5 linked regions of the Canis lupus familiaris genome follow. The protein of the gene in region 3 interacts with the protein of the main gene of each other region in a biochemical or structural test. Links are inferred from orthologs where the notes say so. Each region holds a gene or a part of one and is shown on either strand. Other genes may lie near its edges. The genes, in order: RUNX2, ATF2, FOS, RUNX1 and DDIT3.

What was found.
Region 1: the proteins of FOS (region 3) and RUNX2 form a complex in vitro, tested with the Homo sapiens proteins (2 studies listed by BioGRID). The link is inferred for Canis lupus familiaris from reciprocal best matches to the Homo sapiens genes FOS and RUNX2.
Region 2: the proteins of FOS (region 3) and ATF2 form a complex in vitro, tested with the Homo sapiens proteins (3 studies listed by BioGRID and IntAct, with this or other methods). The link is inferred for Canis lupus familiaris from reciprocal best matches to the Homo sapiens genes FOS and ATF2.
Region 4: the proteins of FOS (region 3) and RUNX1 form a complex in vitro, tested with the Homo sapiens proteins (2 studies listed by BioGRID). The link is inferred for Canis lupus familiaris from reciprocal best matches to the Homo sapiens genes FOS and RUNX1.
Region 5: the proteins of FOS (region 3) and DDIT3 form a complex in vitro, tested with the Homo sapiens proteins (2 studies listed by BioGRID and IntAct, with this or other methods). The link is inferred for Canis lupus familiaris from reciprocal best matches to the Homo sapiens genes FOS and DDIT3.

What each region holds. Positions count from the first base shown.
Region 1 is NC_049233.1:13,984,731-13,990,310, reverse strand, and holds part of RUNX2 (runt-related transcription factor 2), read right to left. Parts: intron 1,976-5,580; coding exon 1,802-1,975; intron 1-1,801. UniProt on the Homo sapiens protein: Transcription factor involved in osteoblastic differentiation and skeletal morphogenesis. Essential for the maturation of osteoblasts and both intramembranous and endochondral ossification.
Region 2 is NC_049257.1:19,436,932-19,443,212, forward strand, and holds the start of ATF2 (cyclic AMP-dependent transcription factor ATF-2), read right to left. Parts: upstream 3,754-6,281; 5' UTR 3,584-3,753; intron 1-3,583. UniProt on the Homo sapiens protein: Transcriptional activator which regulates the transcription of various genes, including those involved in anti-apoptosis, cell growth, and DNA damage response.
Region 3 is NC_049229.1:48,646,568-48,652,611, reverse strand, and holds FOS (proto-oncogene c-Fos), read right to left. Parts: upstream 3,585-6,044; 5' UTR 3,425-3,584; coding exon 3,284-3,424; intron 2,547-3,283; coding exon 2,295-2,546; intron 1,857-2,294; coding exon 1,749-1,856; intron 1,625-1,748; coding exon 983-1,624; 3' UTR 177-982; downstream 1-176. UniProt on the Homo sapiens protein: Nuclear phosphoprotein which forms a tight but non-covalently linked complex with the JUN/AP-1 transcription factor. In the heterodimer, FOS and JUN/AP-1 basic regions each seems to interact with symmetrical DNA half sites.
Region 4 is NC_049252.1:29,879,130-29,884,709, forward strand, and holds part of RUNX1 (runt-related transcription factor 1), read right to left. Parts: intron 3,740-5,580; coding exon 3,548-3,739; intron 1-3,547.
Region 5 is NC_049231.1:1,961,473-1,967,806, forward strand, and holds the start of DDIT3 (DNA damage-inducible transcript 3 protein), read right to left. Parts: upstream 4,821-6,334; 5' UTR 4,719-4,820; intron 4,040-4,718; exon of another isoform or gene 3,957-4,039; intron 3,861-3,956; exon of another isoform or gene 3,711-3,860; intron 1,216-3,710; 5' UTR 1,168-1,215; intron 4-1,167; 5' UTR 1-3. UniProt on the Homo sapiens protein: Multifunctional transcription factor in endoplasmic reticulum (ER) stress response. Plays an essential role in the response to a wide variety of cell stresses and induces cell cycle arrest and apoptosis in response to ER stress.

The sequences.
Region 1 (5,580 bases), on a different chromosome or scaffold from region 3:
ATGTCCTCTGGTTCTTTTTTATGATGTCATCTTTAGGTCTGAGGTCAGAGCCTTGAGAAAAGCATTTTCTTAAAAGTGAATCTAGCGACACACAGTTTCCAAAGGCCATTTTTAAAAGCATTGGTCATTAGCAAAATGTAATTAGCAGTTAAGGGTTAGAATACAGAAATCAAACATTTCAAGAACCCAGGGATTGCCAAATCGTAGAACATGCATTTTTCTTATATATATTTTATTAGTCATCATAAGTCCCTTAAAATCATATATAAACACTTTTATATATGTATCCAAATGCTTCCATACACACATATGGTCTAAAATAATACTATAAAGACAAAAGGAGAGCCATTTATGGACCTTAATCAAAGATCTAAAGCCCACTACTTTAAATGCAGTAGCACCTATAGCTACAAGCTTTATGTTTACAAGTTAGTGTGAATTTCACCCTTGCATTTTTATTAAGGACACATGTCTAGTAAAGGCATTAGCCTTTTGATTCCTACATATCAATATTTAGGGAATTATTTAGGCTAATAAATGGCTACTCTTCACAGAGCTCTAATGTTCTTCCCTGACGCAGATATCTGGTTCTCTTTAGCATTTAAATAGTTTATTTTTATAATTCTGTATTATTTTTTAAATATATACTCAGGTATACCCTTATATGCAGACTAATATACATACACTCACTCTAAATAAATATCCAAGAAGACGTATATCTAATATGGGCAGGAGAGATAGAGAGGTAGGTCATCCATTTATAAACAATTATGTTTATAAACCATTAAGGACACTTAACACCTAGCCACTATGAGGGAAAACCTCACCATTAGAACAGATCAATGTTGAGAGTTTACCGTACATTTTGAGTTATTTTCCCTCCATTCCAGTCCACCCTTGCCAACAACAGAAACCAAATGACATGACTAGGTGACATCAGCTCTCAATACTTGTGATCAGCAAATTAAAAATCTATGATGACTGACACACTCCTCTGTCACCATGATCTAAAAGCAATCGCACTAAAAGCAAGATCTGTTTTTGCACAAATGGGGCAGAAAAAAAAAAGAGAGAGAGAGAGAATTGGGAGTCTTACTGCACCAAACATGAATGATTAGTCTGTAATGCAATGCTGACGTTAATTTTTAAGAAGAAAGGTAGTAAGCAGCTTACTAGAATGTAGTATAAAAAGAAATGTCGCATTAGGACCCGGGGCTAAATGTGAATCAGCAGCAAATTCTGTTTGCCTGATGAGCAGCTCATTGACCTTGCCTTACACCCACCAATCAAGGCTTCCTGTTAGCCCTGGGCAATCTTCAAGCAAACTTAATGAAATAGTTATACATGTAAGAAATTTAAGCCCAAGTCTGAGACAGTAACACTGATTTTCTAATAGCGAGGGTGTGATGCTCTCCTCTGCGCCACCCAGGGCCCAGTACAGAAACTTATTAATGAACATTCTCCTAGAGAGCATAGTTATTACCCTCCACCAGTGTGCAGACTGACAGTGCTCCAGAGTACAGCATTCACAGCAACTTCCCCCAAATTTTATCCCCAAGTTACTGCATACTGGAATTTGTTTTTCGTTAAAAAAAAAAAAAAAAAAAAAAGAAGAAGAAGAAGGAGGAGGAGGAGGAGCGAGAGGAGGAGGAGGAGGTCCATAAGATCTTCACGTCTTGATTCTTTAATAATAAAGCCATTTCAGAGCCCAGGAGTATTGCAGTGAGTGCGTCTCATGTGGCAGCCCCTCACCCCCAGCCTGCCGGAACGTGTGCAAGTGAAACCTAGGAATCTGTCTTACCTGTAATCTGACTCTGTCCTTGTGGATTAAAAGGACTTGGTGCAGAGTTCAGGGAGGGCCGTGGGTTCTGAGGCGGGACACCTACTCTCATACTGGGATGAGGAATGCGCCCTAAATCACTGAGGCGGTCAGAGAACAAACTAGGTTTAGAGTCATCAAGCTTCTGTCTGTGCCCTGGAAACAGCAAATCATAAAATAAAAGCATATTAATTAGCTGAACAATTGACCATACTAAATAGATATGTGAACATACATACTGGGGGGTTAAGCCAAGGAACCATCAATACTGATATTTATAATGAAGTGTCTCTATAATGCCTTCTATCGCAAGTGGTTTTATAAGCATCATCTGGTGGCAAGCATTCCTACTCCTCTGTCCTATGAATGGAGAGCCGAGGGTCCCAGATGGTGACTCGGGAGTTGAGTGCCAGCAGCGAGGCCAGGATGCCGGAACTCAGGAGAGACTCTCTGGGTGCCTCCTCTAACCCTCTTGGCGATGGTGGGAAAGGTGATTGTGTACTGGGATGTGTCTGCCTGTTTCACGAAGGAAGAAATTTCCCCAAAGTTCAAAGAGTCTGTGTACGTCACACATATTCTCTCAAAACTGGGGCAGAAACAGAGACAAACACATTTGTCAAAGGGAAATTTCCACAATGATATAACTGACTTTTTTTTTTATTACAACTATACCTTACTGTGACTGCTTTCTGAAAAATTAAAACTCAAACCTTTAAACCCCTTTAAGAGGAAAAATATGGAAATATAGTGAAGGAAACTCAAATTCTCAAGAGGAATCTGGATATTTTGTGATACCCCAAAACCTAAAAGCACATAAATAAACTATGTTAAATCAGAGAAAATGCTTTTTTAATTTTAAATCTAGTACTATGATTCTGTATAAGAAATAGAAAAATACCATTTGGGTTACCATGTGAATGTGAGAATCCATTATTAAAAAACAAAAAAACCTTGTCTCTCTTCCAGTTTATTCAAGTCTAAAATCTAAGGAAGTTCTAGATTTTAAAGAAATATGCAAATTACAATATAAAGAAGGTTCAAAGGCTTTTTGAAAATCATGAAATCATTCTGAGCAGAGTACAGTGTTGTCTTGGTGCAAGTATAACAGAAAAACATCTGAATATTGGTGCTACATAAGTTAAGTGCACACCTGTGGAGTGCCAGAGTGGTGAATGAGTACGATAATGCCTCATATGTGAACAGAAATACACTGTAGATTCCTTCTTCCATATTCTGTACCAGAATGAGGCCCTAGTCTGTCACCGCAACATACTGTAACTGAAGCTGATTCAAAGAGCCACTAAGGGGCACCTGGGTAGCTCAGTCAGTTAAGCGTCTGACTCTTGAGTCATGATCTCAGGGTCATGAGATTGAGGCCTGCCTCAGACTCCGTGCTGGTGAAGCCTGCTTGAGACTTTCTCCCTCTCCCTCTGCCCCTCCCCTCTCCTCTCGAACAGGTGTGCATATACACGCCCTCTCTTTAAAAAACAAGAGCCATTAAGATGATGACTGGAATCAGAATTTGCCTTCTGAAGAAAAAATCAGGGAAATCAGGATTATTATCCATAAAAAAAAAAGAAAAAATAATGGAAGGAGGATTATTAAGAGCCTTTGACAGTGAGGAGGTATATTCTATGAGTATCAAGAACACCTCATCCTCCTCTCAGTACAGGACAAGAGCAATCTATCAGGAGAGGGTTAAGGTGAACATTAGAATTTCCCAGCTATAAGCTGTCTTCATAAGACAGATTCCTTATTTTATTTGCCCCAAAATGTATTTTCCTGTCTCCTTTTTCATTGCCTACCCAGCCCAAAGAAAACAGACAGGAAGCCAAGGCTTGGAAATATGAGCGTAGCTGTCTCCGCAGCCAAACATGTTCCAAATAGGTCCATTAACTGAAATGCGCCCACCACCCTATTTCCTGCCAGCATCAGTTTGGGGCATCTGCTGGAACTAGGAACTGAGATCAGGAGAAAAGTTACCAAGCGAATTCATTGTTTTTTATGCTGTTTTCCCCATTGTTTAGGACTTCTTAACCAGATTATGAATAGATTTTGGAACTTTCCGCAGTCTTTAGAGATTGCCCCAAACAGCTCCCAACCCGCAGCCAGCAAGATGGTCATAGACAAAGCAACTAGGGCCGGCAGAGGTGAAACAGCAAGCCTGTGGTCTTTAGCCATCAGCAAGCTCAGCCTGGATGGTATATGGTTCCCGTCCTAGCTAACGAAGTTGCCCAAAATATCCATATCGACAGAAACACCTGTGCAGGGCCAAGGCTGGTTTTCAGCATGAGCAGAAGTAGCAGCGAGGATTCAATTACAACTTTAATAGCTCACCCACTACCCTAAACAAACTTCCGCTGATGCATCTTGCTATGTCTAACTAGTTTCACAATTAGGGAATTACAGAGTACTTGTCACAGTTAGATCCGTGGATTCTGTTCCCCATATACATAGAAAAGAAAAAAAACATTGCTGTGGTGTTGATACAGCTGTAAACATTAACAAGAAAGCTTATGGAATTGTCCCTGGAAGTTATTTTTTTTAATAGGCCATATTTTTGGAATGTCAGATTCCCTGAGGACTAAGGAGAGGACTACATGAGCCTGCATGGTTCCTTTAAACACTGGGACTTTATGTGGGCTATGGGTCACAAGAAAACTTAATAAAGCCTTGCCTCTGCTTTCTACAGCCTTTTCATTGGGTTTTCACAGAGACTGGATGAGATATGAGCTCAGCATATGGATGGGTGAGTACCCTTGCCATTTCCTCTTAGCACAGTGCTTTAGGGGAGCCACAAGAGGCTGTAGGCAAGAATAAAGGACTTGAAACAGCACTGATAAGGATGAAAAAATGTAAGAGCAGGTGAAATTTTAAAAGCCTCAATGACCTTATGGAAACTACCTTCAAACAGGAGCTACCAAGTACCTACAGACACCTAGAGTAACTCAGAGAATATCTATCTGCGGTTGCGTACGTATAAAAAGAGGTATGCGTTTTTCCTTGTAGATGTCTGCCCCTTCATAGCCAGCACCACAACCACAACAAAATTCTTACGGTACAATGAAGAACAGAAGCTGAAAGGGTTCTTCATCTTTCAACCATGACAAACACCAGCTACCGCTAAACCACATCAGGGTTAGCATGAGAGTGATGGGCTGAAAGAAGACCTACTTAAATCCTCCATACTCAAGTACTCCCTTAAGAGACCGAGAACATGGAAGACAAGGGCACAACAGAGTTAAATCCAAGACTCTGCAATGGTACAGGGAGAACTGAACCTCATCCGAAGGGCCGAAGACTGTGTCTTCCAAACAGGAGGAAGGTATAAAGAATGGGAAACTTATTTCCTGGAGCAGTGGCTCTTCTACTCCAGCTGGATTAGGAAATCCTCCAGGGAGCTTTGAAAAATATAGACGTCCAGACCCCACCTCGGCTCAGTTAAATCAAAATCTCTGGCAAGTGGGTCCCAAGGAGTTATTTTGTAAAAGCTTACTTATTAGCACAGGATCTGATGTGCAGCCAAGGCAAAGGACCACTGCCCAAGATGATCTCACAGTCATGTACTTGATGCCACCTGTTCATGCTAGTGACTCCCCCATCTCTGAGGTAAGCCCTCACCTCTGTCCTGAGTTCCAGGTCTGTAGGTCCCGCTGCCTACTGAACTCTCCTCTGGGATGTCTAAGACATCTTAAATGCAGTATATTAAAAACAAAATTCTTGACTCTTCTTGCCAGAGAACCCTATTCCTCTCCAGGAGT
Region 2 (6,281 bases), on a different chromosome or scaffold from region 3:
AAGAAATAAAATGTTTTGTGGGTTTTCCCTTGGATGAAAATAAGTGAATACTATCACTATACCCCTCATTAAGAATTACATTAAGAAAACATGCAGCATTTTAAGTAAGTCCTTAGTCTCAAGGAATAGGTGTGAAATACTAAGTGAAAAACCAAGTTAAACTAAAATAGTACATTTTAATGACAGTGAATAGCATAACAAGTACTAAATGTATTAATTTCTAAGGATCATTTAACTATCCAATTACTGTTATTCAATGAGTTTTTAAAAAGAGAGATTATCAGAGGATAAACATTATATGGTTTCATTCATTGGGGGAATATTAAAAAATGGGGAAAAGGATTAAAGGGGAAAGGAGAGAAAACAAGTGGGAAATATCAGAGAGGGTGACAGAACACGAGAGACTCCTAACTCTGGGAATGAACAAGGAATAGGGGAAGGAGAGGTGGTGGAGGGGATGGGATCACTGGGTGACGGGCACTGAGGGGGGCACTTGACGGGATGAGCACTGGGTGTTATTCTGTATGTTGACAAGTTGTTTGTTTTTTTTTTAATTTTTATTTATTTATGATAGTCACAGAGAGAGAGAGAGAGAGAGGCAGAGACATAGGCAGAGGGAGAAGCAGGCTCCATGCACCGGGAGCCTGATGTGGGATTCGATCCCGGGTCTCCAGGATCGCGCCCTGGGCCAAAGGCAGGTGCCAAACCGCTGCGCCACCCAGGGATCCCTGTTTTTTTTTTTTTTAAGATTTTATTTTTTTTATTCATGAGAGACAGAGAGAGAGAGAGAGAGAGAGAGGCAGAGACAGAAGCAGGCTCCATGCAGGGAGCCCGACATGGGGCTCGATCCCAGATCTCCAGGATCACACCCTGGGCTAAAGGCGGCGCTAAACCGTTGAGCCACCTGGGCTGTCCAGCACGGGGTGTTATACTATATGTTGGCAAATCGAATTCCAATAAAAAAATATACCAAAAAAAAGGGGGGGGGGATTGTATTATTTGCTCAAAATGACACAGATAAGATCGACACATTTGATCTAATATAATCTAACAATTTATCAGCAGAGAACATCTAAATCATTAAAACCCAACTTTTTCAAAATACAACAATTTAGGTAGGAAAAAATGTAATTATTTCTTGAGACTTAATGCTAGTTATAGGTAGTAGACATTTGATGTGTAGCATTTTTTTTTTAAAGATTTTATTTGAGAGCGAGGAGAGAGCAAGCACTAACAAGAGGGAGAGGAAGAAGCAGGCTCCCTGCTGAGCAAGGAGTGGGGCGGGGGGTCATCCCAGAACCTTGGGATCATGACTCCAAGCGAAGGCAGACACCTAACCAACTGAGCCACCCAGATGCCCCTAGCATAACATTTTTAAAAATGATATTCAGATAGCTTTTAAATCCTGAATACCAAGAAAAAGCATCCCTCCAAATTATGTTAAAGAGCTGACATAATAATCTTAATTTGTACTGTTTAAAAATATGAAACAAATACTCCAAGTAAAGAAAATACAGGAATTTCTGGATTACATATTTAATACATTATGATATAGTGCCCCAAGGATGAAATATACATTCTTATAAGGTTAAAAAGAATTTCCAAGAAATGCAATGAGATCTACAGAAGACACATGTACCTTAAAAACACACACACACAGTTCCTGAAAGCTCCTTCCTTATTGACAAATACAAACATCTATGTTCTAAATTACCACAATATATTTCAAATAATTAAAAATCTAATGGCCGTAATCCTCTCGAAGCAAGATAAAACAGGTCTTCGGAAAGCAGCATACAAACAACCATAAATTTGTAAGATTCTTATAAATTACAAAGACCAAGATTTTTGGGATGCCCGGGTGGCCCAGCGGTTGAGCATCTGCCTTCCGGCTCAGGTGCGTGACCCCGGGGTCCTGGGATGGAGTCCCAAATGGGGCTCCCTGCATGGAGCCTGCTTCTCCCTCTGCCTCTGTCTCTGCCTCCCTCTCTCTCTCATTAATAAATCTTTCTTTTTTTAATAAATAAAATCTTAAAAAAAAAAAGACCAAGATTTTTAATTGTTACTCAATTACTGATGACCTTAAAGATTCAAGAACATCCTTAACTAATTCTTTATCTGTAAGAGGGCATCTCTTTTTTTTTTTTTTTTAAACATCCTTTACAAAGATACTCTTGCAGTTCTGCGAAGTGTTTACAGCGGATTCCTCAAATCAGTGTAACAAATGTAATCACAAGATGGAATTGCTACTGTGTTTGCCTTTCAGGTCACTTAACCTGTAGGGCTGACTTTTGAACAAGCTTATTACCTTCAAGTTCTGGTACAACGGACCAAGGTTACACGGCTATTTAAAAACGACGCCTAGAAAGGCTATTACTTACTGACAGTGCCAGTGGTTTCTTCACACAGGACACAAAGTGCACTCAGAGAGGTACAGGTTTGTCTGGACATCAAGTGTGTACATTAAAGTCAACGCACGGTTACCGTCTCCATAATTTAAAACCCCCAAGAAATGAGGACTTTCACATTATGATTTAACTATCAGTCAACAGGGCGAAGGTCGTCCATCAGGTGTAATCCCTTTACTCTACCATATTGACGGTAGTTTTGCGCTTGGCCTCAACCAGTTTTCAACTCCCCCCCCCCCCCGCCCCCGCCCCCCAAGCGAAAGCAATTTCAGACTATCTAAGGACACAAATGATCCCCAGCTCCTCCGCCTTCTCCTTCCTCTAGCGTCGGTTCAACGAGCTAACACAAAAAATACAGACACACACAGTCACTCCCTCGGCCCTGGTCCCTAGGGCATTAAAAAAAAAAAAAAAAAAGGCACAGGTTATTTACCCTACAGAGGCTCTGCAGTCCGTGCGGGGAGGTTTAAAAAAAAAAAAAAAAAGAAAAGAAAGAAAATGGGGGAAAATACCAGAATCAATCTGCACCCACACCTCAGCCCCGCCCCACAGGGAAAAAGCGGGGGGTGGCGGGAGTGTGAGGGGGCAGAAAGGACAGAACCGGCGGGGACTTCCAGCTCCCGGGCTGCCCAGGCCGTCGGCGCGGCCGCAGGCGGGGACCCCGACCCCCCTCCCCGCCAGCATCACCCACACAGTCCCCGCACCCCCGAGTCCTGGGCGGGGAGACCCGAGCCGGCCCTCTCCCTGCAGATCCAAGGGCTGAAGGCGGGGGTCTCCCTGCGCCCCCGGGGGTGCGGCGTGGGGGCGCCCGGACACCTCCGACCTAACCGGGGAAGGGGAAGGCGAACCGGGGGGGAGGGGTCTAAGAGGCGCCGTTATTCCTTTTTCCTCCTCGTTAGGAAAGCGCGCGAGCGGGGAGGGGCCGGAACGACGAACGCCAGTTCCCTATAACGGGCCCGCCGGGCCGGCCGGGCTCCCCGCCGCCGACGCCGCGCCTGCCGCGCAGCTGGCGGGACGGCCTGGGTCGCCCCGAGGGCCGGGCACCGAGGCAGGAGCGCCCGAGGCGATGGGAAGCGGGGGGTGGGGACTACGCGGAGCGACGTCGCCATGTTAGCGCCTTCTCTCTCCCTCTCCCTCCAGCCGCAGCCCTGCGGCCTTCCGCCCGCGCTACTCACCTTCCCAGGTCGCTAGTTCATGCTTCTCGCTGCCGCCCGGGAGGCCCGAGCTCAGCCGTGTTTACAAACTACCCCTGGAGGAAAGGGCTGAACCGCACTTTAAAGGCCACGGGCTCCCACAGGCTTCCGTCCTCTCTCGCGAGATCCGACTGACACCCCTTTCTCCCCGCCCCGCTCCCGGCATCCCCCCTTTCTTCTCGCGCCCCTCCCCTCCGCGCACACGCCCCTTCTTGCCTTCCTTTCGACCGAGCGCCTCCGGGTCAGGTGATGCCGTCAGCCTTCAGCGGCAGGGGGCGGGACCTGAGGAGGGAGGGGCTGGAGGGGGCGGGAACCAAAGGCCACTCAGTCGCAGACGATTGGTCAAGGAGCCCAGAGGGCGGGAAGCGGTTCCGGAAGGGGGCGGGGCCGAAGGAGCCGGAGGGGAGGAGCCTCCGTCACCTGCGGAAGGCTGTGATTGGCTGGGGCTGGAGACTGGCGGGGCTGTGGATGCGGGAACAGGTGGATGTCGGGGTGGCCCAAGGGCTTGACGGTGCGCGCCGAGGACGAGGGGACCTGCGGAAGAGGCTGCGAGTGGCGGGAGGGGAGGCGCGAGGAGGCCTCCGAGCTCCGTCACGGGAGCCCAGTATTTCTGCTGCCGTCCCTTCCGGGCCCTGGGTAGGAAGGAGGGCAAAACGTTAGGCGGGCGCGCGCCTGGACCCACTTTTCTGCTGCCCTGAAATGTGAGACGGGGAGGTTCCGTGGAGCTGAGATTTGGGAGAGGCGGAGTTTGCAGCAAAATGCCCCTCCCCCTCAAGGCCTCCACACGCCTGAAGCGGGAAAGAGAAGTCAGCTTTTTTTTTTTTTTTTTTAAGATTTTATTTATTTATGTATAAGAGATGGAGAGAGAGGCAGAGACTCAGGCAGAGGGAGAAGCAGGCTCCATGCAGGGAGCCCGATGCGGGACTCGATCCTGGGTCTCCAGGATCACGCCCTGGGCTGAAGGCTCAACCGCTGAGCCACCCGGGAGTCCCAAGAGAAGTCAGTTTTGCAAAAAGAAAAGAAAAGAAAAAAAAAGTGTCAGTTTTGCAAAAAAAAAAAAAAGTCAGTTTTACAAAGAAATGAAAAAGCCTTTGGATGGCATTTGTTCAAATTTTACGAAGCTATCGCTGATATTGGTTGTTCCGGCTCCTGAACGCCTGGTACCCGGAAGGATATGAAATGCAGCGCCCCCCACTATATAACTGTAAGTTGAAACAGCTCAAGGAGTTGCTTGCAAGAGAAAATCTTCCTTAGGAAGGTGTATTCTATCAATTTCCCTTTACTTAGTAGTTACAGATTTTAAACGTATCACCTTTAATGCAGATAATTTCAAACTTTTAAAACATCAACTCCTTAGTAACCTTTACTGGGGACCGAAGAACACCAAATTAGAATATGGACTAGAAATGGCTCTCTTCTCATAATACTAGCCAGTGCTCACTAGGTTGCTACGATGACAAAGAAATGTCTGTCAAGCTTTGAAAGTAGCTGTTTAAAAAAGAGTTAGAGAAGGGAGACCATTTGATTAATTTAACTTGAGGGACAAAAGATACCATATTTTCTGTTCTGCAGTCGACACAGATACACTCATGAAAACACAAAGAATAGTACTGAAAATATTTTTTAATGTTGCTCTATGATTCTTTATATAACTTAAATATTTCGACGTCAAGTGTGGGGATATTGATTGTTCAATAAATGGACACAATGGAAAGTATGATCAAGGGCTCCCACAAACATTTGTTATAATGATTTCTTTAAAGTTAGATTTTCTCAGTGCCTTGGTTTTTCATGTATTATATGACTTCTAGTCTATGACAAGTTATGAGTAAAGTTTGTGTATTAATGTAAAATGCACTCTCAAACATCCAAGTCAAAGTGAAACTGAAATTATTGGAAGTTTGTGGGGTATCGTATTTGAAAAGTTAATTTGCAGTTTAATAATGGTATCTGGCATAAAAGTGAAATTCTCATGGCACTGAACATTTTAGCAGGTTTCTGGCCTGTGTACACGTATGTGAGCCAACTCACTCGTCTTTTAAAACTAATTTCACTGGGCAGCCCGGGTGGCTCTGTGGTTTGGCGCCTGCCGTCGGCCCAGGGTGTGATCCTGGAGACCTAGAATCAAGTCCCACATAGGCTCCCTGCATGGAGCCTGCTTCTCTCTCTCAGCCTGTCTCTCTCTCTCTCTCTCTCTCTCATGAATAAATAAATAAATAAATCTTTAAAAAAATTTTAAATTTAATAAATAAATAAAATCTTAAAAAAAACAACTAATTTCATTATTCAAGAGACCAAAAAGAAGCTAGAATATTAACACTATTCATGTCCCAAATTAAAATGAAAGTACTGGGGATCCCTGGGTGACTCAGCGGTTTGGTGCCTGCCTTTGGCCCAGGGCGCAATCCTGGAGTCCCCGGGATCGAGTCCCACGTCGGGCTCCTGGCATGGAGCCTGCTTCTCCCTCTGCCTGTGTCTCTGCCTCTCTCTCTCTCTCTCTCTCTATCATGAATAAATAAATAAAACCTTAAAAAAAAAAAGTCTGGATCATAGATCCTAATTAAAATAAAATAAAATAAAATAAAATAAAATAAAATAAAATAAAATAAAATAAAATAAAAGTACTAGTCCTATCTAGTATTAGAATTGTGGTAGTGTTTGAGTCACATAGCACAAATTA
Region 3 (6,044 bases):
TGAACACATGTATTTGTCAAATATTCCAACATCAGCTCTAGAGTTTCCTTCTCCTTTTTGATAAGGGATCAAACAAAGGGGCGTGTCCCCCTCCAGGAGCTACCCTTCTGGACGAACTGGTCTCCAATCCCTTTCAGAATCTTACAAAACTTCCCGAATGAAGAGCACAAGGTTGGTCGCATTCAACTTAAATGCTTTTATTGACAATGTCTTTGAACAATAAGCAAACAATGCTTAAATTTTTCATTCAAATTCACTTTCCACATGTCAAAAGACCTCAAGGTAGAAAAAAATAAAATAAAAATATAAATATCTGAGAATCCATCTTAATAAATAAATTAAAAACACAATAAAACGTTTTCATGGAAAACTGTTAATGTCAGAACATTCAGACCACCTCAACAATGCATGATCAGTAACGTTACAATGAACATTGATGTTGAAGAAAAAACTACAGTACATGGATAGAGCTATTTATTTCTATCTACTAGAAAATAAAGTCATATCTTTTCTTAGTTTAATATTGGTCATTGCTAATCAGAACACACTATTGCCGGGAACACAGTAGTTATTGTTAAAATCAGCTGCACTAGATACAATTCGAAAATATCCAGCACCAGGTTAATTCCAATAATGAACCCAATAGATTAGTTAATGCTATGAGAAGACTAAAGAGAAAGAGATAAGAGACACAGACCCAGGCCTGGCTCAACATGCTACTAACTACCAGCTCTCAGATGTGTCACTGGGAACAATACACACTCCATGCGTTTTGCTACATCTCCGGAAGAGGTAAGGACTTGAGGCCGCGCGTGGATGCTTTCAAGTCCTTGAGGCCCACCGCCTGGTGTGTTTCGCGCACAGATAAGGTCCTCCCTAGGTCTACGGGAACCCTCGAGGGAAGACGTGTTTCTCCTCTCTGTAATGCACCAACTTGGGCAGTAGCACCCTAGGGTGCCTGCCGCCTCCCCTCCCTGCCTGCTCACAGGGCCAGCAGCGTGGGTGAGCTGAGCGAGTCAGAGGAGGGTTCGTTGCTGCTGCTGCCCTTGCGATGAGCGGCCGCACAGCTGGGGAAGGAGTCAGCCTCAGGGTAGGTGAAGACGAAGGAAGACGTATAGGTAGTGCAGCTAGGAGTACAGGTGACTACGGGGGTGCACAGAGGCTCGGGCTCTGTGGCCATGGGCCCCATCCCCAGGGAGCCACCATGCAGGGGCTCCCAGTCTGCTGCATAGAAGGAACCAGACAGGTCCATGTCTGGCACGGAGCGGGCGGTCTCCGAGCCGCTGGGCCTGGATGATGCTGGAAACAGGAAGTCATCAAAGGGCTCGGCCTTCAGCTCCATGCTGCCGATGCTCTTGACGGGCTCCACGGAGGGCTTGGGCTCAGGATCATTGAGGAGGGGCAGGGTGAAAGCCTCCTCGGACTCCGGGGTGGCAGCTTCGGGCAGGCCCCCGCTCAGATCTAGGGAAGCCACGGACATCTCTTCGGGGAAGCCCAGGTCATCAGGGATCTTGCAGGCAGGTCGGTGAGCTGCCAGGATGAACTCTAGTTTCTCCTTCTCCTTCAGCAGGTTGGCAATCTCGGTCTGCAGAGCAGACTTCTCGTCTTCTAGTTGGTCTGTCTCCTGTATCCAGAGGGACAGAGCAAAGCATAAGACGCGGGCCTACTCAAGGGCCCTGCTCCCGGATACCCAGTCTCCAACTTTCCCCCTAAGTTTGAAAAAGGAGTGACCCACAGGGTCTACCTACCGCTTGGAGCGTGTCAGTCAGCTCCCTCCTGCGGTTCCGGCACTTGGCTGCAGCCATCTTATTCCTTTCCCTTCGGATTCTCCTTTTCTCTTCTTCTTCTGGGGACAGCTAGAAAAACAATTTCCAAAAGGCCAACAGTCAGTAACAAGGTCTGCCATCAGCTGGGTTCAGCCACCCCGGGGTGAAACTGGTCCCTGCAGCTTCCCAGCTTCCTGGCACCCCTGCGAGGAAGCCATTTCTAACCTGCACTTGCGGGCTGGGTGTGACTTGCATTTAAAATAAGATCCTTAGCAAGAGAACAAAGAAGAGCCCGGTCTAAAAGCTGGAGAAGGAGCCTATGAGGGAAGAAATACTACCAGAGTATTTCTTGGGGTAGGACTATCAGAGTCCGGCGTGGGACGGAAATGGCTTGGAGCCAGGGTTCCTCGTGGAGGACAGATAGGTGGTGACTCCATCAGTGGCTTCGCCCTGCCCACGGTGCTCCCCAGCTCCACCAATGCCAACCCACGCCCCCTACTGAGAGAAGGTGCTGGAAGAACCGCTCACCTGTTCCACCTTGCCCCTCCGGCCAATGCTCTGAGCTCTGCCTCCCGTCATGGTCTTCACAACGCCAGCCCTGGAGTAAGCCCCAGCCGAGGGGGTGGGGACTCCATACGGGTGGGGGGCTCTGGTCTGGGACGGGGCCACGGAGGAGACCAGGGTGGGCTGCACCAGCCACTGCAGGTCCGGGCTGGTGGAGATGGCAGTCACCGTCGGGATGAAGTTGGCACTGGAGACGGCCAGATCGGTGCAGAAGTCCTAGAACGGAACAGAGGGGGCAAAGCTGACGTGAGGGAGCAGGTTCCGGACACAGGTGCGGCGGGCCGGGCGTCCAGTGCCGCATGCAGCGGCGGAGAGCGGAGGAGAAGCACGCCCCGGACTGCTCGGGGCTTCTGATGTGCCCCTCGTCCTGGAGGCAGGGGGCTCTCCGTGTCCTCCCAGGAAGCCCGCGACGCAGCGCGTTTCTCCTCCACCCTGCTGCTGCGTCCCCGTTACCCCTCCGGCATCACTCGCCTGAAAGGGGGTTTGTTATAAATATCCCTGACGTCTGCGCTGACGCAGGCGCCGCTCCGGAGTCTCCTGAATGAACTCGCTTTTTATCAATGAAACTGCCTTACACACCCGCCGGCTTCACCCTCCTCCCCCGCCCCTCCTCCCGGCTCCGGGCTGCGCGGGGAGGGGTGGGGGCGGGGGGATTGCCGCTTCCCGTCGCCTCCCGGAGGAGCCAGGCGCTAGTTCGCGAGTCTCGGCCTGGGACACGCTGCGCCCCGGGTAATGCCAGGGAGCGCGGCCCGAGGGCGGCCCCAGCCGGGCCTGCCGCGGGAGAGGGGGGCCGATCCTCGCTAGGACAGCGCGCGTGCGCCCCACCGAGTCCGGGGGTCCCGCGGTAGGGCAGCTTCCCCCCCGACTCGCCTTCCCGAGCGTCCCGCCCCGGAGTCTCCGCCCTGGGGTCGGACCCTGCCCCGGGCCCCGCGGCGGCGCGAAGCCAGCCTCACCTGCGCATTGACGGGAGAGCCCATGCTGGAGAAGGAGTCGGCCGGTGAGTGGTAGTAGGAGAGGGTGTCCCCGGCCGGGGACGCGCTGCTGCAGCGGGAGGAGGACGCCTCGTAGTCGGCGTTGAAACCAGAGAACATCATGGTCGCGGTGAGTCAGGGCCGGGGCGAGGGGCTGAGGGGCGGAGACAGGCCGGAGCTGTGGGGCAGAGCTGGGTGGGAGCGCGGTCACTGCTCGCTCGCTGCGCCGCGGCCGCCGGCTCCGTCTCGGCTTCTCGGCTGCTCGCTGCAGATGCGGTTGGAGTACGAGGCGCCGCAGCACCGCATTTATAGCAGCATTCTATGAATGAGCCCCCACCCACGTCATGGGCGCAACCATCGCGGCGCCAGGGGGGTGGCCGGCCGACCTGCGCACGCCTTCGGCCTCCTTGCCGCCGCCGCCGCCCCCGCCGCCCCCCACTGCCCGTCTTAATGTGGTCCCTTATCTCCTGAGCGATCAGCAATTTGGGTCTCCGGGGTCCCGTGGAGCCCCCGAGACGAGGGACTCCGGGGACGGCTCCCCCCACGACCGCAGGGAACGGCCGTGGAAACCTGCTGACGCAGATGTCCTAATATGGACATCCTGTGTAAGGGGGGACGGATTGACGGGAACTGCTCGCCGGCTGCAGCCAACACCGAGGGTGCAGCGCGGGGGGAGGCGGGGGCCGCGGCCGGGGGAGGGGAGGCGGGAAAGGAGAAGAACGCGAGCGAACATTCGCACCTGGTTCAATGCGGACCCTTGTTCCCCGGGCGGGGTGGGGGGATGGGCCGGGAGCGCCTTTTTACCAGTATACGGCGCCCCGGAAATGTGCTGGGGCTCAGGTATGGGAGAAACAGGTACACAGCCCGAGGGCTTAAGCCTCAGCCCCAGAAGGAATGCGCCGCCTCCACCCCCGCCCCCGGCCATTCCGGATTCTACCCTGATTCAGTGCACCCCGTGAAAGCAGACCCTCAAGCCCCCAGTCCGCAGCAGTACTAGGGCTGTTACTGCATTTGGAAGCAGAAAAGTCGGGAAATCCGAAATAAGGGAATACGTACGCTAACCTACTTTATCTACGATGTTGGGTATTTTAATTTTAATTGTTTTGGTTTTTTATTTTTAGGGAAAAAAGCGCATTTTTTTTTTCTCGGCCATACTTAGGGACATTAGCGATACCGTCAAATCTGAGACGCTAGCCAGTGAATATTGGGCAGAGCCTCCATGCAAGGATATCTGATGGGTTCGTTTGCCTAGTTCTGAGCTGGGGCCCGGGGAGTGGGATGCGATTCCGGGGGTGCTATGTGGACAAGGTGGTCAGTTGAGGGTACCGGGTGGAGAGAGTTCCCCGGGGGAGCGCAAATCCGAGCTGGGAAGTTAGACGAGGCTCGGTTCCCCCAGGAAGCTGGGCTTACTGGCTGCCCACAGCGGGTGATTTTCCAGCGCAGACTTGGGGGGGGGGGGACCGGGGGCGCTGGAAGGACTGTAGCCAGCAGCTCCCAGGAGGGAGACCTCGGCCGCTGTGGGACCTCAGGCGCGGCTCTGTGGCCTGGAAAACCGGGTTGGGGCGGTCGGGGGCTCGAGCGTGCGTTGCACCCCCAGAGACCCCCCCAGCCTCCTCCTCCGCTGCAAAGGACACCTGGGGTCACATTGCCCCAGCCCGGGTTCCAGCGCGCGGCCTCCTCCGGGGCGCGAAGTCGCAGAGCCCAGCGGAGCCCCCGTGTGCCTTCCCCACTCTTCCGGGCCCCGGGCTCGCGGTGGACCCCTGGAAAGGGGCGAGGCGGGACTAGGGCCGCGGGCGGATCCCTCGGGGCGCGCGGGGAGCCGGACCGCCGACCTGCCTCCCGCCGCCGCACCCCGGAGCCAGGCGATCCTGCTATAGATAGTAACAGGGAAGCGGCTGTTTACAGCAACACTGCGCCGCCAGGGCTGTCTCCAGGCGACGCCGCGCGGCCGGGCGCGCCGTCGGCCGGGCCAGGCCGCCCTCCCTCCTCGCTCCCCCGGGGCCTCGGCCTCCCCGGCCCCGCCGCGGCCACTCCCGCCGCCTGACATCATCCTCCGGGTCCGGGGGCTGCGTGCGGCTCGCGCGCGGCTGTGCGCTAACCTCCATTCTTAGAGATGAGAACCCGGCGGGAGCTGGGAGGGCAGGGAGGCGGGGATTCGTGGAACTGGGCCACTTGCTATTTTTGCATTCCCTGTCACAGGCAGAGGTGAAAACAGAATTTCATCATTGTATGTCACTGGTTTATGTTGGTGGGAATTCAGGCGCTTTTTTTTTTTTTTTTTCCTCACTTAAAAAAGGAGAGAGAAGGAAAAACACATAATACATAAACACAGACTTCTCGGAGGTGCCCTGAACCCTAAAACAATTCTTCGGCTTTTAGTTCTCCTAATTCTTTATCTGTCAGGCTACTTCACTGTCCTTGATTATTTAATTAACAAAAAAAAAGTTATGAGAGTTGAGAGCAAATCCATCTCTCTTCTGATTAGCTCCGACAAAATAGGTCAAGCTTTGAATTCCTGGGTCTGGCCTTGCCTTCCATTCATAAATGGATCTCAGGCCACTTAAGAGAAAACCTAGAATGATTTTATTTACTTGTCCTTTAGAGTTTGAATCGGCTCAGCCCAACACCTAAAGACTGTGTCAAGATTTTATATCCAGGATTTATCCCATATCTCACTTTATACTGTCTTTGTCAATAAAAGGAAAAGGGTCTTTGGATGAGCCTGTGTCCTCCAGATGGCTTA
Region 4 (5,580 bases), on a different chromosome or scaffold from region 3:
AACACAACCAACACAGTCCTGCCAAGTGAACGTCCGGCCCAGCACTGCTCCCATCTCCCCTTTGACAATCGGGATTCTTCTGGACACTGGTCAGCCCTGTGTCTAATCGATCCTCTATCCAAGAGAAACTGCCACCCCGTCAGCCCTGGCTCTGTAGCCAGAAAGGTCTGGGTTTGGGTCCAAGTCTGTCACTCATGCTCTTGGAGATTCTGGGCAGTTGTTAGCTTCTGAGGTTCAGTTGCTCTGTCTATAAACCACAGCACAGGATTGTGGTGAGAGCGGAATAATGTATACAAAAGGCCTGACCTGTGCCAAAATACACCATAACTGGTCCAGTGAAAGAGTTAAGCCTCACGCCTGGAAGTTTATGACCACGCACGCGAGAACAACAAAACTGGCCTCTTTGTCCAGTTTTGACAGTTTTCTGCATCAGCAAATATTGGGTATCCTCCCCAGAAAGGAAGGGGTCATGCAGCCTTAAATGTGGTTCATCATTTTTGGTAAATCAAGAGGCAAATTCTTCAAATGACTTGCTGGGGTTGCCTGGAGCCATCTCTAAGGGAGCATGTGTGACCGATCCAGCATCAGCGACTTCATCTCGCTGGGATCTGTGCTGGTCGCATCTTTTAAAAGGACACGTGTCCATTTTCCCTCCCACGACTGAACAAGAGCCCTAAGACTCGCCTGGAGAAGTTTGCGATGACGTCCCAAACGAGTCGCGTAGCCATGACAAAATGACTTTCTATTCAATTTTAGGAGCTGGTAAAGGAGGAAGTTGATATTAACCTCAGCCCTTTTAATAGTTAAAACCTCAACAAATAAACAGTGGTTTGGTGGCATGGCAACCTGCCCCCCCTCCCTCTTCCCTTGCTTCAGATAATTTGAGATGCCTATTCTGAGGGATTCTCGAGCACATCTGATTCTAGATAAATAAAGGCGTTTTTCTGGATCTGTGATTTCCTAGTGCCAGAGTTCAAGGGGCAGACATAGCTCTCCAGATGAGGTCCCAGCCTCTCTGTCACCCCACGATCCCTCCAAAGCCCCGGCTGCTGACGTTTCCCGGTGCTGAAAACAGTCACACACCCGTACGGCACCGCTGAAGAATTGCCGTGACCACCTCTGGGATATTTTTCTTACAACGATGACTGCCATTTCAAAGAGAGCCATAAACACATGCTGGATTTTTATATAAAGCATCTTCTTAAGTATAATATGGAGTCTCTAGAGCTAAGCCAGGAAAATAAGCATTTTCCTACTTGTCAAGAACAAAATGAAGGTTCTGGCTGAAAGAGACTTTACTCTTATCCCTGTTAACTTTCTAATTTCAGGGGGAAAAAAAATCCCTCGGGTCTACTCAAAACATGACTAGGGTAAAAAAAAAACAAAAAAACATTTTTTCTTATAGGAAATAAAAAAAAGAAAGAAAAAGGAAAAGTAGTTTTACATGAATGTATCCTGGGTAGTTATTTTTAAAAAGTTCCTCCAATTTTACAAGTGAAGGACTGAAGAGCAAATCATATTTTGGAAAGAAAGAGCTTCAGCAATATAGTTAACACATTCTTTAGAGTAGCAACCAAACCTCTAGGGCACTCTAAAAGCAAGTTATTATTACTTACATGTTGCAGAAGTAAAAAGTTTTTAAAAGGAACAAGAAAGGGGAGAGGCTCTGTGTTAAACCTGATACTCTGCTAAGCATACAGTATTCCAAAGAGCCGAAGAATGCCCGTCCGGCCTTGGTAATGTCTCCACCCGAGAGCTGCTGGCGGCCCAGGACAAGAATTCACTTACCACCCTCCCCCTCTTCTTTTGGGGAAAAAGAGCCTATCTGACCAGGAGGCAAATCAGATCTGATTCATTCCTCACCAAAACTGTCCGCCACGAAGCCAGCCTAAAGGGTGACCATTGCAACTTGCCACCCTGCATCTTCCCTTGCTTTTAAAGATGCTTAATAGTTTGGGTTCCAATACCAGCAGAGCGAGGAAAAACCCTTACTCAGCCCAGTAGGATAAATTGTCAGTTATGGGCTGAGACCATAAGAAAACAGGAGTCTTCCCTCTGATGTTACGAATGGAGGTCTGAGGATGGCATAAATTAATTTCAGCGGCCCCGCACACAGGATCAGGGGATCGCCTTCTAGAATTTGTTCTGTTCGGAAGGAAAGGACCATTTCACTCCTCACTCATCCCTCTCACTTAACGTGCCATTCGATCGGATTTACCGTACACGCTTGCATTCTGGCATTAAAAAAAAAAATCAATATGCATATCTCGAACAAGTATTCATGATAAGCACCACAAAACTGAGGATCTCAAGGAGGCCTTTTCCTAAATACGCCGAAGATGCATCTGCAGATGAGAGCTAACCCGCCCAAATCAAGCTTTACGTTTCTGTTTGGGGACAAGGGGGCCACCCTTCAGATGGACCACTTAGCAGCTGTGTGCCTGCTATCTGACAGGAAGTCTTGTCTGGAAACTTTCCATTCAAATAACAGAACCTCCCCCAGACGCAGAACTAGGAGAGCTCGAGGCATGAGCCATCAGACTCTGTGCAAGGGTGCTTGCTTGCCTTTCCAGAGCCCCCCAAAAGCATATCCTAACCACCAAAGCGAGCGACTGGTCCCAAAACCTTAGAGAACTCAGGACCGGGACATGTCCCACGATAGGACCCGCGCAGAGAAACCCCCCGGGGAAGCTAATTTCTGCGGTCCCAGAGGGCAAGTAGCATGTCCCTGGCTGGCCACCTGCCCTCTCCCCCAGATGTGTTGCTTATCTCTCCCTTTGAGTTAGACAAGCCCGCTGCTTGGAGAATCTCACTGTGACCGTATCGTACGCAGCTGCGTCCTGCCCAGCACAGAGAAAACAACTGGATTTCAGAAATTCGAAATGGTATCGCAGAGCAAATCATCATAGACAAGAGTGGCTTCTATGGTGCAAATGAACTGTGCGTCTTCTCTCATTTGGCACAGCATGTTTTATGCAATTATTGCATTTTACCCTGTTTTTGCAATTGCTGGCTAAACCCGGGTATGTGGGTATCGGGAGGGGGGGCCCACCTGCATTCTTTATTGATTGCAAATTTATTTATTGTCAATAATACCTTTGATGTGATGGCATCCAGGCTATCGAAGTATTTCTTTATATTAAAAAAAAAACAATAACATATAGATACAAACCCCACAAATAATTGAAGGCAATAAGAACTTGAAATGTCCTGACTTTCACCTTGCTTGGTGTGTGTGTGTGTTCAAGCCTCATGGGTAGGTAGGAAAACAGCAGAGCCAAAGCTAACTCAAAAAATTCAAGATATTATCTACACATAGATATCTATCTCTCCATATCCTAGGTGCCAGTGCCTCTCGATCTGGGGATCTCATTACGGTGCAGATCTGACTCAGTAGGTCTGGGGCGGGCCAGAGACTCTGCTGTCTAACCAGCTCCCAGGCTGCTGGGCCGAGGACCACCCGTTGAGCAAGGAGCAGAAGCCAGGATGGGTCTGGGGGGTGTGGCCCGAGGGCGAGGCGGGAAGCGGGCTTCCTCCAGGTACTTACCCTGCATCTGACTCTGAGGCTGAGGGTTAAAGGCAGTGGAGTGGTTCAAGGAGGCCCGAGGGTTGGGTGTGGGGGCTGGGTGGTGTGGGCTGACCCTCATGGCTGTTCGCCGCAGCTGCTCCAGTTCACTGAGCCGCTCAGAAAAGGACAAGCTCCCGGGCTTGGTCTGATCATCTAGTTTCTGACGATGTCCTATTGTGGGGAGGGGGGTGGAGGGTGGGAAGGGGAGAGGGAGGCAAGGAAGGAGGGAGGGAAAAGATCAGAAAATGTATTGTGGATTTGCTAAAAGTCGGGGTTCTCTTGTCTTGCCCCTCCCTGCCCCCTCACCCCCAACGTGGATTTGCTGGAGATTGGCGCACCTGGCTGGCTCCCAGGGGAGATCCAGGGCCACCGACCCCACAGCAGCCGGGGCTCCCTTTCATCACAGGCCACGGGGTGCTGCCCCAGCCTGCGCCCCATCTCCCCAAGCCTCTGCGCCTGTCCCCGCGGGGCAAGAATGCAGCGGGCGTGCGGGGATCGTGGTGGTGTAAGGTCGGGAGCGAGGGAAGGTGCATTAATTGTTGGCACTTGGCCACGCACTGCGGGCTGAGCTAGGGCAGCCAGGAAAGGTGCCCTCCCTGTGGCATCAGAACAGCCGCTCCTCACTGCAACCCCGGCCACGGGCAGCAAAGTGGGCCGCCCAGCTTAGCGCACGCCCCGTCCAACAGGAAATGAGGTGTGGCTGCAAACCCACAGTCCTGGGGGAGGTCGGATTTCCTGCTAGATGCAGGGCATGGGCAGCCCCTCGGCCCCTCTTCGCTCCCTCTCCTCGAAAGCTTTTCACGAGCATCCTTCAGCATTCTTCCCCGAAGCCCGCTTCCCCCCGTGTACCCTCTAGGAGGGGGTTGACAGGGCCTCATCTGGAACCTAGAGGTTGTGCCCGCAGACTGGATGAGCTTCCCCCAGGGGCTCAGCAATCCAGGGTGGACAGTTGGGCCACTCAGCTGTCCGTATAGACAGTAAGTATATGTGTTGCCGTGTTCCCCCTGCAGTGAGCAGAGGCCAGTCCCATGGGACAGGCCGGGAGGGCTGGGCCTCCAGTTTGCTCCCTTTATCCCCCCAACAAGATGGCTTTAAACTGGAGACTCAAGGCCTGCCAAGCAGAACCCAGGCTCAGGATGTACGGATAGAGCCACCATCCTCAGAGGATAGGCCCCTGCTCCTTCCTCACCTCTGTGGTTCGAATAAAGGCTCATTGACCAATTTCACACACCCGTCCCGCACCCCCCCCACCCCCCATCGTCAGGTGGCCTCCAAACAACATTGGAGGAGCAGCCTGCCTGTTGCCACCATCAAGGGCTCTTTCACATGCCCTGCCCCAGACCTCAGTTAGAAAGAGGATCCCTGGACTCCACTCCCCGCCAGCCCGGGGTGGGAGAAGTAGATCGCAGCCCAGCTCCCAGTCGCTACAATTACAAAATTAAATTTTATAACTTATATTATGGTTCCAAATCTCCGTGGCTTGCCGTTTCTTCCCGCTGCCAGGCCCCTTGGCACAGTTGACACCGTCTCAAATTCCACACCAAAAAAAAGGACCCACTATATTGCAGTGATTTTTATCATGAACAAGACCTGGTCGGCTCCGAAATGAGGAGAACGACTTAAGCATAATATTTGTGTAGTTCAAATGCAATGCTCCCTCTTTTCATGTGTCACCAAGGCAAATCTAGACTCTGATTCAGCCCTGCAGCCCACAACACTCGACCGTAAACACAAACAGCCTGAGTCACACAGGGCCAGCACACAAGTGAGAGGCCTCTTACCGACTGAGTATTTTAAGCACCGGCCTCGTGGGCGAAAGGCCATAGGGCCAGGTCCTGGAACAACCCCTGTCACCCCTTTCCCTCAGAAGTGGGAAACTGTCTTTTTCTAGAACATTCTATTTCAGTCGATCATGGTGTAACCGTGGTGCCTCTGGAATCCTCCTTCCTCTTATCTTGGTGGCAGATTCTTAGCTTTCTGATGACTTAGGCTGAAAAATCTGATATTCTTGC
Region 5 (6,334 bases), on a different chromosome or scaffold from region 3:
GCTCTGGAAAAGGACATACTCAGGATGGCGTGGGGGGTGGGGGTGGCCGGGTGGGAGTGGAACAACTCCGCAAAGCAGTTAGTCTATACAGGTTGGCAGACCGGCCTGGTACCTGTTTGCAGGTCAAGTTTTATTGGAACATAACTATATTTATTTACATACTGTTTATGGCTGCTTTCATGCTGTAAGAGCAGAGACCTTAGCATCCAAAACATTTACTGTTTGGCCCTTTAAAATTTATCATTGGTTCTTTTTATTTAATTTTTTTTTTAAAGATTTATTTATTTATTCATGAGACACAGAGAGGCAGAGACACAAGCAGAGGGAGAAGCAGGCTCCTCGCAGGGAGCCTGATGCGGGACTCGATCCCAAATCCTGGGATCACGACCTGAGCTGAAGGCAGATGCCCAACCGCTGAGCCACCCCGGCGTCCCTAGCAGTTCTTTCTTTCTTTCCTTCCTTTCTTTCTTTTCTTTCTTTAGATTTTATTTATTCATAGAGGCACAGAGAGAGAAAGAGGCAGAGACACAGGCAGAGGGAGAAGCAGGCTCTATGCAGGGAGCCGGACGTGGGACTCGATCCAGGTCTCCAGGATCACACCCCGGGCTGCAGGCAGCGCTAAACCACTGCGCCACCGGGGCTGCCCCTATCAGTTGGTTGTATACTAGTATTCCCTCTCTGCTGCTTTTGCCCGGCATTTGAAGCAGCATGGGTGTAGAATACACATTCTTATGGGATCCTGGTAAAAGTCCTCAGCCTTCCTTGGGGGACTCTGTTGGTAGTTTCCAGGGGGCAATTATCAGACCATCTTGTGTTCCTTTCTCCTGTGTGGGGAGTCCTTTGGGTGAGTCTAACCTTGATGGGGACTGAGGTTTGTAAGACAAACCAATTCTTTGTTGGGGCTGACTGCTCACTCAGCCAGCTTTCAATTAGGACATGCTCTAAGAATAGTGATTTGGTCACCTAGTTAGGGGCAGGCCAGGAGGAGGGATGTGGCTGTCAGCAAAAGTCTGCTCAGATTCAAACTCTATCTTATCTTCTCTAGGTGTTTTCATAACTTATTAGGGCCCCAAGACAGGGACCCGAAGCGGCATCTCTTAGAAATTGGTTCTAGGAAAGGGATGGTTAAGTTTTCCTGCTCTCAAAAAAAAAAAAAAAAAAGTTTACCTGCTCTCAGGTGTGGTGATGTATGAAGATACACTTCCTTCTGGAACACTGTGGGGATCAAAGACAGAGGTTAGCCATTTTGGGAAGGGAGAGGGACAGTTCCTTTTATCTCCAGCCTCCTATCGGTCTTTCCTCACTTCTGTCTTACAGGGTATGGACAGTCAGTGGTCCCTGCAGCCGTTTCCAAGGACAGAGGAGAGCCTGACCTTTATTTTTAGTTGCTGACATTTGCAGTCCTGATTACATAATAGAAAAATCATGGCCAACTTGACTTTCTCTAAATTTAAGGTAGGCCTCAAACTGCCAGGGAAAAGACTGGACGACAGGGAAGGGAACAAATCAAGTTATTTTCCTAATTCCATTCCCACACTGACATCCTGGAAATACACATTTCCAGCCTCGACCTCTCCTGGGACCTACAACTGTGTTAGCTGCTTATTGCTTTTGGATATCTAAGAGGCATCTCAGACTTCATATATCCAAAGACAAATTCTGCTCACCTCTTCCCTCCATCTTCCCCATCTCAGTAAATGGCAACTCTACGTGCTTAAGCCAAAAGCATTAGTACTGCCCTTCATTCCTCTCTTACACCCAATTCAAACCACCAGCCCAATTTTTAAACTCATTCTTCAAAAACCAGAACCTGAATACTTCTCAAGAATTCCATTGTTTGCAATCTAGGTCAAGTTACTCTCCTCTGCTGGATTACTCAGGTTCCCGGCTTCTGCTCTTGCCACCCTGCCCCAAGTCTGTTCACAACACGCAGCTGGAGTGAGCCTTTTATTTTATTTTATTTTATTTTATTTTATTTTATTTTATTTTAATTATTATTATTTTTTTTTATGATAGTCACAGAGAGAGAGAGAGAGAGGCAGAGACACAGGCAGAGGGAGAAGCAGGCTCCATGAACCGGGAGCCCTATGTGGGATTCGATCCCAGGTCTCCAGGATCGCGCCCTGGGCCAAAGGCAGGCGCCAAACCACTGCGCCACCCAGGGATCCCTGGAGTGAGCCTTTTAAAACTCTAGTCAGGTCCTGTCAGTCTGTTCAAAACTCTTCAAGGACTAAAGTTCATGAATATTAAAGGCTAAAGGTCCTTAATATGGCTTAGAAGGCCCCACACAATCTCCTTCCCTGCCCTGGATTTCTCATTGACCACTCTCCCTCTAGTCCGTCCAGCTGGCCTGCTCCCTAAACTCTGCACACTCCCACCTTAGGACCTCTGTTCTCACTGTTCTTTCTCCTGGAAAGCTCTTCCTTTCACAAATCTGCACAGCTTACTACTTTGCCTCTTTTCAGAAGTTTCATTTAAATGTCACCTCTGTGAGAGAATCTCTAATGACTCAAGGTAAACATCCTGGGCATTCACTACCCTTCCATGCTTTGGTTTTCTCCTTGGCACTTCTATATTTGTTCGCTGTGCACCTTTTCCCACGAAATGTAAGCTCTGTGAGAACAGGTCTTTTCCTTGTTCGTAGATGCATCCTGGGCCTAAAATGTGTGGCACATAGCAGGTGTGTAATAAGTAATTTGTGAAGAATGAAAGAATTCTCCCCAGTGTCTCATAGGGAAGGGAGGAGGAAGCCCAGAGGCAGAGCAGCAGCTGCCCAGCCCTGGGGACTGGAGATGCAATATCTCCCAGAGTGTTTCTCTTCAGGGCTGTCCTCCCTGGGGGACCCTCCTTGCCTTCCAGCGTGTGGGATGCCGCTTTCATCAGCAGTGGGGCCCCAGGCCAGAGGGCTGCAGAGCCAAACAGGGGGCTGGCCTGATGCAACGGTTACACAGAAATTAGCTGGGAGGCAGGACGCGGGGAAAGCAGCAGGGACAAATCCCTGCGGAAGGACCCTACACTGGGGAGACCCCAAATGGCTTCCCACACTTAAGGGATCCAGAATGCTCTCTTGTGCAGGAGGCCCCCGGGACCTCTGGGGGAATGGGAAAACCCATCTCTGCTCCCTAGCCATTGGCATCCCTCCTCCTCCCAAAGTCTGGAGTCTGTCTCCTTAAGGTTCTCTTCTCCGTTAGGGTGTGGAATGGCTGTCCTGTGCAGGACCCAGGAGCTCCATCCACCGACGTGGCCACTCTGGCCCTGAGACGCTGGGCTGAGACAGGATTGGGGGTGGGGTAGGGGCAGGGCCGCTGGTGGGAAAGTGGCGGCAAGGGCGTGAGCCAGAGCCATCCAGGCGTCTCGGCGTGGGGGAGTGTCCTGCCGCCCCGCCTCCCACCGGACAGGACCAAGGAGGCGGCCTAGGGCAGCAGCGGAAGACAGGGAGTCTCCCGAGGGCATCCGGACCCCTTAGCCCGACGGCCCAGAGCCGGGCCCGCGCTCCGGGCAGGGTGGGGCGCCGCTCCCGTCCGAGGGAAGAGAGGTCTGTAAGCACCACTCCCGGATAAAGGATGCTCCCCGTCCCTCCCTCGAACTGTCACTAACTTCGTCGGGGAACGGGTGGGGCCGCATCCTGAGCAGCTGATGCCCCAACTTCGAAGGGACAACCAGCATCCCCGAGGACTAGAGGGTAAAGAGCAGGTGGGATCGGTACTCGCCTCTCTCCTCAGGTTCCGGCTCTGACTGTGGCTCTGTGGCTGCCACCCGCTCATCTTCAACATGATCCGCTCTGTGCCTTACACTCAAGCCTCTGACCTCGGAGGCCCGAGCGCGGATGTTTTAAGGAGGCCCTGCCCTCCCCTCGGGGGCGGGCCCGCAAGCCTGCCAATCAGGGCGCGGCACGCCGGCGCTGGCCCCGCCCCGCCCCCCGCGCCCGCCACTCAGCAGCCCCCGCGGCGCCGCCCCCTTCGCTCCCGCCGGCCCGGGGGTAGAGGTGGTGTCGGACCCGGAAGTGGCTTTGGGTCACGAGGCTCCGCGGAGGAGGCGAGTGAGTCATGCGCGCGCGCGGAGGGGAGAGCTGGGGGGGAGGGGAGGAGGGGAGGAGAGGGGGGCGGGGATGATGCAATGTTTGGCAACCGGTGTCTCGGCGCGCACGCGCAGGGGCCGACGAGGGTGGTGGGCGGTGCGGGGGGGTGGGGGAGAGGAGAGGGCGGGGCGCCAGCGCCGGGCTCCCAACGGCCCCAACGGCTCCCAACCGTGGCCGCCCTCAGGCTGCCTGCGAAGCCGCGCTGCGGCTCGTCCTCCTCGGCGCCCTTATTCCGCCCACCTGGCGTTAGCCCCCGCCTCGCCGTCTGCATGGGGGGCTCCCATTTTGCTCGGTCCCCTCCTAGTTAGTGGGCGCGAGGTCTTCTAAGCCAATCTCTTTTGAAAGTTTGCATGCAGCCACAGGACCGCCTAACGTCTCCTCGAGTAGGCGCATAGAAAGATCCCGTTTAGCTCCCTAATTCCCCCAGAAGGGGCCGAGGAACTTGAGTACTTTTGATGGTCATTTTCAGCTCCTCGCCGAAAAGCACCCCTAACTTTTATCTTTGTGAAGTTTCTGATGAGCGCTCAGCATGCCAGGATTCAGGACTTGGCCCGGTGGACGCGATTCTCAGCCTCCCCCCCCCCCCCCCCCGTACTCTGGTGCCTCCACCAAGGATCAAGACCCGCCCTTTTCGCTGTACCAGCCGCGCAGGTCCTGTGACTCCTGCGTGAGGAGCCGTGCACCCGCCGCCTGCCGCCTCGGTGCTCGGGCGACCTTAGAGCCTCGTTGCCTGGGACGTTGGGTGCACTTGAGCGCGCAGCCGCCTTGCACCGGGTTGTCAGGAGCCCAGAGTCTGGCCTCACCTGCCCCTTTACTTGCCCCCTAATATCTGTGCCACAACCGTTCTTGTTTGTAAATAAAGGATGACGAGTTGTGAAGGTAAAACGAGAGCACTATGAACTTGGAGGCAGCTTAAACAAAAGTGAAAAGCATCGCTTAAAATGCAAACGTTTTTCTTGTGCCATTAGAGAGAAAAAAGATGCCATGTGGCGGCCGGTTGTATTCACTGTCATACCCTCACGGGGGCAGCCAGAGTTAAGTAGAATCTGTCACAAGGCCGGTTGTGGCTGCAAGGAGGTTTAGGTGGTGGTGTGACGGTGACAGGTCCTCGGCCGGGCCTGCTCCGTTGCTCCAGACCTCCATTTCCCCTTCAGTAGATGGGGGTGGGGGTGGGTTGGACCAGATGGTCTCTCCTGGCCCAAAGACATGACCAGGTTGTCAGTGACAGGCAGAGGTCATGTGACTTGACAGGCGGAGGTCCTGTTGTGACATGTTGACCTGGGGAGGCGGGTCAAGTCCCAGCACACTACCCGGGAAGCCTTTGGGGCGGGGCAGGGCAAGTCGCGACTTTCATCTTTTGGGGCCGGCCCCTCCCGGACCCGGCATTCCTGGCTCCCCCGACAGACTGTGGCTTTGGAAGGGGCCCCTCCCCGGGGAGGGCTGGGATTGGCCGCCGGTGGCCTGGGAAGAGGCTCAGATCCTTCCGCGGAGGGCGGGGGGGCCGCGTGGGGTGTTTGTTCTCTTGGGGATTAATGGGGGGTTGTGGGGGAGGGGTAGGCGCGCTCCCGCATGCGCACTGCGGCCCCTCCTGTTGGCTCGTCGTTGTCCGCTGGGCGGGGGCCCGGCCCCGCCCCTCTCCCGTCCGGGCAGCGGCGGCGGCGGCGGCGGCGGCGGCTGCGGCGGCGGCGGCGGCAGCGACGGCGGCGGCGGCGGCGGCAGCCTGCGCGGTGCCTTCTGGGAACGGAATCCCCAGGGCTGCCCCTGGCCCCCATGGCGCATGCGCGGGAGGCCGCTCGGTGATCCGCGGCGGCGGCGGCGGCGCTTCCTGCTAGGACCGGCCGGGGCCGTACCGGAGGCTCGGGCTCCGCCGACCCTCCTCCCACTCCCTCCCACTCACCCTCTGGGCCGCGACTGCGCAGGGCGGGGCCGGCCGAGCCATGGGCCGCGGTGAGTGCAGGGCCCGGCCCCCCCGCCCCTCCCCCTCCCCTCCCCTGCTGTCCCTACCCTCTGCCCCCCGCGTCCTCGGCCCCTTTCCCGGCCCCATCCCCGCCCCCCCGCCCTCACCTGCCCCCGCCGTCTCTCCCTCGCACTGCTTGACTTTTGCCTTCTTCACCTCCCTCCCTCAGTGCTTCGCCCACCCTCCGCCCGCCCTCTCCCCAAGTTCCTTCCTACTTCGTGCGCCTTCCCCTCCTCCCCAGGCAGAGGGAAGCAGGCTGGGTGACAGGGCGCCTTGTTACGAGAGGGAAAGTTTAGGAG